Linked DNA regions of Caenorhabditis elegans. The protein of the gene in region 2 interacts with the protein of the main gene of each other region in a pairwise test. Each region holds a gene or a part of one and is shown on either strand. Other genes may lie near its edges.

Region 1 (4,628 bases), 8.3 Mb from region 2:
TGTGTGGGAGATCAAAAAATAAAAGATTTGGCGGGTTGGGGGATTAACCCTTCAATTTCCGTTTTTTCTAGTCAACTCGCGCGTGTTCATTTAATCCAAAAATCCACTACAACTTTGTGAATTTCGTTAGATTTTCGTTTATTTTTTTGTTGGTTCGAAATATTGATTTTGTCTCGTCATTTAGTCGTATAATTTTAGTACTCAAGTGTAGTTTGTAGTTTGTAGTGAAACTGCCCATGCTGTCCCATTTCGGTTTGATCTACCCCCCAGATCTACAAGAATTGCGGGAATTTAGACGCAGAGTTCTCAAATGATTTTCAAAAACTTGCAGAAATTTCAAATTTCCTATACAAAAATATCTGAAAAACTGATTTTCCTGTAGAAAAACGTCTGAAAAATCGATTTTTATATGTAAAAAATTTCTGAAATTTCGAATTTCCTATATAAAAATCTCTAAACATTTCACATTTCTTATGTAAAAATGTTTGAAAAAGTGATATTCCAGTAGAAAAATGGCAGAAATTTCAAATTTTCTATGTAAAAATGCATGAAATTTCAAACTGTTATGAAAAAATATCCTAAAAATATGATTTTCCAGTATAAAATGTCCTAAATTTCAAATTTTTTGTATAGAAATCTGAAATATTGAATTTCTCATGTGAAAATATCTGAAAAATTGATTTTCTAGCAGAAAATGCCGGAAATTTTGAATTTTTTAGTACAAAAACGTAAAAAATTTGAACTTCCTATATAAAAAATTCTTGAAGTTTCAGATTTCATGTTTAAAAATGTCTAGAAAATTGATTTTCCTGTAAAAAAAACGTTTGAACTTTCAAATTTTCTATGTAAAAATGTCTAAAATTTCCATTTATTCATTTAAAAGTGGCCGAAATCCTGAATTTCACAGTTCAAAATACCGGAAAAATACATTTTTCAGTCGAAACATGTCTCAAATTTTGAATTTTTTTATATAAAAAATTTCTGAAAAAAGTGATTTTCCAGTAGAAAAATGGCAGAAATTCTGAATTTCCTATGTAAAAATTCCTGAAATTTCGAATTTTCAGTGTAAAAATATTTGAAATTTTGAGTTTCCTGTAAAATAATGTCTCAAAATTTGATTTGTCTATATAAAAAATGCCGTAAATTTCCAATTTCCTATGTAAAAATATCTGAAAAGTTGATTTTTCCTATGTAAAATTGTCTGAAATTCATAGATTTTTTCTATAATTTTTTTTTGGAAAAAACAGTTCAAACTACATATTTAAACTTGAAAACATATCAAAAAATATTTACTTTGAACAATAGTTTTTTCCCGAAAATTCCATGTTTTTTTGCAATATTTGCATATTGTTTTCAAGTTTTCTGTAACTTCGAATGTTGTTTTTCTTTAAACTCCCCATTTTTTCCCAGCAATTTCTGCAAAATTTCCAATCTTTTGACCCCAAAAATCATCAAAACACAGACATTTTTTTTTGTTTACTTTCTCCTTTTCTCTCTCAAAACATAATGTTTTCCGCACTTTTGATGTCTGATTTCTCGATTTTCTGGTTTTTTTATTATAATGTTTTTCCTGAAACTTTATGTTTTGGTTCGCATAAAAATGCTATAAAATGGCGTGATTTTATAGTTTTCCAGAGTTTCCGAGTTTCGGAGCGATGCAGTATATTGTGCTGCTCAGCGTTCTGCTCATCGGAGCAAACGCTCAACTTTCAGCGACAAGAGGTAAGTTTTTCCAACCTAAAAGTGTACCTAAACCCCTTTCAGACCAAGAATGCAAAGAAAACGAGAGCTTCCAGACGTGTGGCACGGCTTGCGAGCCGACTTGCGGGCTTCCGACTCCGGTGAGCAGATTTTGTTGTCAAATTCCGGCTTACAACGTGGTTTTTGCAGACTTTTTGCACACTGCAATGCGTCATGGGATGTCAGTGTAACAGTGGATTCTTCCGCAGAACTTCGGATAATCGTTGTGTTGAGCAGAAGGACTGCAATGTTGCGGCGAATGAGACGATTCCAATTCCACCACCAGGTTAGAAGGGGACACAGACTAAAATTTGGGCCGGGCTACGCAGTCTCGGAATCTGAAATTTTGGGTCCGCTAGTACATCAGAGTTTCCAGACAAGGCCCAATCTCTAAGGCCGCACTGGCCCTACAGACAATGGCCCGGAGTTCGAAACGGGTATCTAGACCCAGAGCTTGGGGGTATCAGCCTCCTGACTTTGTGGGCGCCAAGCCCAGAGTTCAAGGGTCCCAGGCCCAGAGTTCGGGGGTACCTGCCCCAAATTTTGGGGATACCGAAAGACTAAATTTTGGGCCGGGCTGCACACGGAGTCCTGGAATCTGATGTTTTGGAGCGCGGGGTCCGCTTGAAAATCAGATCTTCCTGACAAGGCCCATTCTCTAAGGCATCTCAGGCCCTACAGACACTGGCCCGGAGTTCGAAACGGGTATCTAGACCCAGGTACCAGCCCCCAGAGTTCATGGATCTTAGGCCCAGAGTTCAGGGGTGCCAGGCCCAAAGTTCAGAGGTCCCCAGCCCAGAGTTCAGGGATACCAGCTCCACAGTTCAGGGTCCCCAGCCACAGAGTTCATGGGTTCCAGGCCCAGATTTCGTGGGTACCTGGCCCAGAGCTCGGGGACTGCCGGACCCAGAGTTAAAGAATACCAAGCCTTGAGCTCCACGGTAACAAGCCCAGAGCTCCACGGTACCGAGCCCAGATCGTGGGTACCAGTGCCAGACTTCAAGGGTAACAAGCCCAGAGTTAATGGGTCACAGGCCCAGAGTTCATGGGTACCAAGCTCAGAGCTTGGGGTACCGAGCCCAGATCGTGGGTACCAGCGCCAGACTTCAAGGGTGCCAAGCACAAACCTACCAGGCATCCTAAAGCCTCCAAACCAAGACCCCCGACCCCAAACCCCTCTAACCCCCCACCAATTTCCAGCCACCAACCTCACATGCCCAGTCAACGAGGTATCCAACGAGTGCCACAACCCATGCACCGAGAAGAAGTGCCCACAAAAGAATGCTCCACAGGTGAACTGCTTGATGGCCTGCCAAGTCGGATGCTCCTGCATGGACGGATTCGTCAGAAACAACCAAGGAGTGTGTGTCAAGGAGGCCGAGTGCCCAGCGATTGGTAAGTACTCTAAAAATTGGACGAAAAAATGCACCAGAATTGCGCCACCGCACTGCAACTTTCCAGGCTCTCAAACCTGCGGAACCAACGAGGAGCCCAACCAGTGTCACAACGCGTGCTTCGAGAAAAAGTGTCCGGTTAAGCCCCAGCCACTGGTAAACTGTATGGAGAAATGCGACATCGGATGTTCCTGCAAAAAGGGATTCCTCCGGAACCGCCAGGGACAGTGTGTGAACCCTACCGAGTGTCCGGCTACTGGTGGGTACCGTTTTAAAGGAAACTAGTTAGAGCCAGTGATTCTAGGCTCCACACTGACTTGCTCCAAGAATGAGGAGCCCAATGACTGTCACAATTCGTGCTCCGAGGCAAAATGTCCTGTCAATCCACAGCCATTTGTTAGGTGCATGATGAGGTGCGAAAAAGCATGCTCTTGCAAGAAGGGACTCGTTAGGAACCGGCAGGGACAGTGTGTGAAGCTTGCAGAGTGCCCACCGACTGGTTAGTAGGGCTGAAGCCTAGTTCTAGTGGCTTTAGGGGTCTCGAGTGAATTTTCGGGCAAAAAGTCATGTTAAATAGGCTTCTGGCAAAGTTTTGATGAAAATATCTAAGAAAATTGAGCTGAGCTCAGTTTTAGAGAGTTTTAGCAAGTTTGGTGTCTTGAAACGAATTTTTGCGGCATTTTTGACTCCGCTGTTGATTTTTAGAACAATTTTGCGATTATGAGCAGGTTTGCATCAAAATTGATGTAAATCTAGGCCTTTCAACAAAAGTTTTAGTTTTTGGACCAAAATTTCGGTGCAAAAAACGACTTGACCCCTTTTTTCGACAAATCCGGAGCAATTTTCCTATTTTGGGGCAGTTTTGAGCAGAATTTTTTGATTTTCCCCTACAAATGTGGTTTCCAGGCAAGACTGACACAAACCCATGTGCCTTGGTACTCTGCAAGCCCGGTCACCGATGCACCATGTCAACTGGCCAGGCAACTTGTGTGCCAGGTATCATTTTTTCTGTCCGCGGGCGCTGGTTTGGTGCGGTTCTTTGCTAAAATTCTGAGAATTTGGTGTCCTGAAATGGACTTGGATGGAATTTTGACAAATTTGTGGATTTTCGGAACGATTTTCACATTTTGGGACAGTTTTGGACCAATTTTATGGGGATATTGGCTTTTGACATACTTTTTGGCAGTTTTTTGACGAAAACGTTTTTTTGGCACACATTTTGGTTTAACGTGCGAGTTTCAACAAATCTGCCAACTTTCGGCACATTTTTGAATCAATTTTGAAGGTTTGGGGTTGTTTTTGACGCAAAAATCGGGATTTTAGCTTGTTTTCATGCCAAAATCATGATGCAACGACGTAATGACTTGACGCAATCCTGGTGCATACCCTGCGACTCAAAATATACGAATTTTCCGACTCTAACATATAAATTGTTTCCAGGCAGCACTGACGAGAACCCATGCAACTTGGTGGACTGCCGTACCGGTCACCAAT
Region 2 (4,954 bases):
GAGTCAAACACATTCCATTTTCTAACCTCTTGTCATTTTTTCCTTTCGAAGGCAAAAGGAGAAATATACCGAAGAGACATTTCGACGCCAATATACACTGTAATCAATCTTCTCACCTTCACGCCAATCATCCTCTCGATCATCATCCTTTCTCGATAGTTTCAAACTGTTTTCTTTTTTTCTTTTTTTAGTGAAAGACGTCGATGAAGTGTTTGTGATAAAAAATTACCGAGCTACAAGAGAAGAAAGGGAATTTTTGCTGAAAAGGCATTCCGTTCCACTCTTTCTCCTCTATCTCTGAAATTCCTCTTCTAATATTTTTACACCCTCACTAATAACAAAACACCTCTCCTTCTTTACCATACATTCATCTCATTTTCTATCTTTTATCACACCGTTCCTTACCGGTTTCTTATTTGAGGCAGCATGTATTTCAATGAGACCTCCATGAGACGTTTTTTTACCTTTTCCCGTCTAGACCCGCATAATCTAAATGGTTTCAATGTTTCCTTTTCCATCTCTCATCGACTCGTTTTTTGTCTATTTTCTTGTCCTCGTTCACTCAAGTTGATAAGAGCATTTTGAACACATAAAAAATTTACTATGGCCTAAACCAGGCGATTTTTATTGAGTTTTCATAAGAATCGTTTTTTGTGGAACATTGTGTACTTTTTTAAAGTTAAAGAAGTATTATTTCAAATTTAATACGATTTGAATGCTCTTCGATCATTCGGCTGATTGGCATGTCTTCCTAATTAATTGGAAACTTCTCAATAGAATACCACAAAATATAGCACTACCCTTATTGATATACTTTAAGAAACTATTTCTAGGTTTTCTTCGGCTTAAAAATGTAGCACATAAATTTGGTGCCAATTACTTTTTGATATTTTAGTATTGACAAAATTTGTGATAATACCAAGGATAACCAAATATGAGCTGCCAAGATAGAGCATTAAATGTACAAGGCTAATAGGGAAAGTACCGTAATCTTTTTGTAAGGTTGACACGCTTAGCGACCAGTTTTCTGTGTGTTTTTCAGGGTTTCATTTTCTCCAGATTTCAAATATTCCAGGTTTCCTGCTCCTCAATATTCTTTTTTTCTGCATTTCAAACGGTAAATTCTTTAGTGAACGTTGAAGATAATTCCGGAATCATTTGAAAGTTGAATTCTTCAAATGAACATTTTGCACGAGACGTAATAGTTTTATCAGTAATAAAATCACTTGTTATTTTTGAAAACTAGATAACTTCTCTTCTCTTGAAAAACTGTGGAATAAAACAAATAGTTAAGTAAAAACTGTTCTTTTGAGTAGGTAGCATAGGAACATCCACCTATTTTTTTTTGTTTGATCTGGTTCTAGTTTCTAAAGTAAACATGAATAAACTTAGAATCTTTGATGAAAGTCATTATCAATGTTATAACACGGAACTAGGTCTCCTTTGTCAAATGAACTGAGTGTTTCTTCTTAATTATGTTGTTGTTTCTTTCTATTGAATTGCAAAACAAAGTGTTCTAATCCATCGGGCGCCAGTTCGGTATACTACGAGCTTCTGCTACCATCTTTCTGTCTCCGCGCACCTTCATCATTTTGTCTTTCGCCCAATGTCAACAGACCTTTTTTCGTCTCCCTGCTTGCTCGCTTGTGTTCTTTCTCTTTGACAGTGCAGCTTCTTCACCGATCGACTCGGATCACTTTCGTTGTCTATAACCTCTCTGATTCTTGTGCTTTACCGTCGTGAAGATCCCGCGCAGTTCGATTTTCAAAGGCGGGGCCTGCACAGACACAGTTCATTTCAAATTGGGACACTACGAGACGGTCTCTCTGTTTCTCGTTTTACTTACTTTTTCATTTGAATTGAAATCTTAGTTACATGGTCCCAAAAAAATCGACAAAAAATTTATATACATGACTACAATTTTCATATTTTTCTTTGCAGAGCTTGTGGGCCGTTCATCACGCGGCTTCTCCGCTGAACGGCAAAAACGGTTATGCAGAATTGTTGAAATGCAGTGGTCAAGTAGTATTATTTTACTCTTCACATTTCTTATCATTTCCAATGCAAAAAACCAAAAGACCACATTGTGCGGGACATGTGACAAGGATTCATGTCCAGATGTTTCAGGATGCGAGCAATTGAAAAAGGATCAGTGCGATTGCTGCGAAGTGAGTAATTTAAAATTTTGATAGAAAACGAACTATGGTTTAACAATTCTTTAAAACTTATTTTTAAAATTAATTTTAATATTCTAGTTCCTCAGTTTTAATTTTCTTTTTAAAATTCCAGAACATTGAATGTGAGCTTTTGAAATAATTTTCCACAATTTCTCATGACTAAAATTCTAACTATTATCATAAATCCCCAATAACTTAATTATTATTGGACAATGATCAAATGAACAAATGAAAGGATCAAATGCTCAGTGAAACAACTGAATAAAGATGAGCTTTAATGTATTATGCTACACAGTCAAATCAGTACCAAAACGAAGAACCGTTTGATAGAAACGCATAATTCAGATACCGTGTATCCTCTTAGAGCTCTTATTCCTCTTATTCCTATAATGAAATTGCACATAGATAGGTTCCCGATAATTAGTACTTTTTTTACTAATAGAGGAAACACGGTACATTAAAAATAATCCTAATTGCTTTGAAAGTGGTTCAACTTTCTAAGTTTCAAATGATAATAACTGTCCCTTAAATCTTACTTTCGGTTTTTAAACCGCGGTTTTAGTTATAATTTTGTTTCTACAAAAAGAAATACACTGAATAAACTTAAACATAAGTCAAAAGTCTATAAAAAAGTATGTGCGGTCTTTTTTAACGGCTTTCAAACAATAAACAAAAAGTTATACTTGCAGGTCTGCATTCGACAAATCGGTGAAACTTGCGACGGGCCTGGTCTTGTTTGTGATTCGCATCTTTCATGTCATCAGGAAAACGATCTTGATGGTTCAAGTCGATGTAAAGGTATATTTTCTTCAATATTTCAAAGTCCCTTTGCATGTTTCATTCGATTTGAAAGAACTTTGGTTGTTTTTTCGAGGTCCAGAATGCTTCCTAATTAAAAAGAAAAGGGTGCTCTAGAGTTACTATTGGGCTTATTTTATTGCTGAAATTTGATAGGGTTTCTTCTCAGTCTCTCTATCTCTCTCTCTCTTTCATTTTCTCTTCCTATAAAAAATGACTTCTCAAAATGGTGGCGGTTCTCTTGTGCTGAGGCTTCTCGTGTGTGCTCGCCGGACGACGCAATCCACCCTGCTCTCCCGAATATACAATTTCTATTTACTTTACTTCACTCTGCCCGCAGTTTTTTAACCAAAAAGTCCTCTATGTTGTGTCCGCAGATAGGGCGGCTTGCAAAGGTAGAAAATGGGTTGGACTAACTTGAGAATTGAAACGATCTTGTTGTGGATAAAAAATCGGACAATGTAGGCAATGGGGATATCAAGTAATTGAAATATTGCAAGGATTCTGAGCATACCAAAACTTGAATGTTGTTAAAAAATACTTAGATTGTTCAAAAATAAATTGTTTTTATCAATTTCTTTCAAGATCTAGAAAAGGAGTGAGCTAGAAAATTCTTGATTGCGGCATGTTGTTCCAATGTTTGGTAATTGGAAGATTTTAAGCCATCATTAAGCACCTCCCAACTCCTTTAACTCAAAATGAAAAGTTTATAGATTATTAAAACATTTTCTACATTTTTACTGAAATATAATGGAACAACGAGCCACGATCGGCCTTGTTGTAGAATTTCCGTCTCAACCTGATCTCGAATTATTTTATGCTCAAGCACATTTGGTTTTGTCTGGATTTTCAGTTCAAAAATGTACTCCTTCCTGTATTTGTCTATTCCGTGTTGTTTCGTTCAAGATGCCATCAAACTTTAATTCAATTTTCGAATTATGATTGCATAGGAAACAGAAAATTTCAAAAAAAAAAAACGGAACGAATGACTAACCAATTGCGCGACACCGAAAAAGAACAGAGTTTCGAGAAGTGTCTAACCTCTGTCTCCCTCAATTGACTCCGCCTACTTTGTCTTCAAGTGTTGCATAGAGTTGGCCATATGCGGGACGACGTAAATCATTTCGATAATTTTTTTACGGAAAGAAGAGCTTGGTGTCTTGGAGATTAGTAATGGTTAAGCTTCTTTTCATGAAATTTTTTTTTCTATTTTTGTCATCGGCAAATCTTTCTGCTTCTCATTTGAATTTGAAAATGTCTTAGTATATATCAAAAATTATGTGTACATACTTTGAAATTTCAAAATGGCTATTCCCGACATTTCTGTGCTTAAATAACAAGGAAAAATCAGAAAAATTTGATATACAAAAATTATTTTCAACAAATAAAAATAAACTTGTTTGAAACTTCAAAATAAAAATGCCTTTCATTATTTTCTATATTAACTGCAATGAATTTGGTTTCACTATGTAATATCTGTTGTTTCAATTTAGACAAACCGAATCCATTGCTTATAATGTATAAATTGTACTTTGTTTTTCTGCATATTGTAACTTGCCACTTCCATAAAACGCCTTTCATCGTAATGTGTACCAGTTGATTTTTGCTTTGAAATGCATAAAAATGGTTCATATGCCTTGACCAACTTGAAATTGACCCTGTCATCTGCAACTTTTTTGTTCTTCAGTCATCACCAAGTATCTTCTCGGTGTCCACCTGATCAGATGTTCTCATGTTTTCAAATCCTTCTTTCTTTTTTCCATGTGATTTTTGTGTATTTTTGTGCTCTAATCCTCTTTCTCCTACTCACTATATTTACAGCTCGAGAATGCAACTAGTCGTCTGCGTCTTTCTACTTCTCTTCTCATTTGTCAATTTTCTCCGAACGGAGCAATCAGGTGTGCTAGAAGGCATTCTCTTCTTGAACAGATATTGTCAAAAAGAAATTAATAGAGTCAAAATAAGTGACAAAGGGGGTG

Evidence for each region. The genes of interacting proteins can lie anywhere in the genome.
Region 1: the proteins of crim-1 (region 2) and Y69H2.3 interact in a two-hybrid assay, tested with the Caenorhabditis elegans proteins (2 studies listed by BioGRID).

What each region holds. Positions count from the first base shown.
Region 1 is NC_003283.11:18,661,124-18,665,751, reverse strand, and holds the start of Y69H2.3 (Follistatin-like domain-containing protein), read left to right. Parts: upstream 1-1,625; 5' UTR 1,626-1,655; coding exon 1,656-1,722; intron 1,723-1,764; coding exon 1,765-1,841; intron 1,842-1,890; coding exon 1,891-2,026; intron 2,027-2,940; coding exon 2,941-3,135; intron 3,136-3,201; coding exon 3,202-3,393; intron 3,394-3,438; coding exon 3,439-3,633; intron 3,634-4,040; coding exon 4,041-4,130; intron 4,131-4,574; coding exon 4,575-4,628.
Region 2 is NC_003283.11:10,329,100-10,334,053, reverse strand, and holds the start of crim-1 (Cysteine-rich motor neuron 1 protein-like), read left to right. Parts: upstream 1-1,941; 5' UTR 1,942-2,009; coding exon 2,010-2,168; intron 2,169-2,866; coding exon 2,867-2,975; intron 2,976-3,217; exon of another isoform or gene 3,218-3,357; intron 3,358-4,800; exon of another isoform or gene 4,801-4,803; coding exon of another isoform or gene 4,804-4,873; intron 4,874-4,954.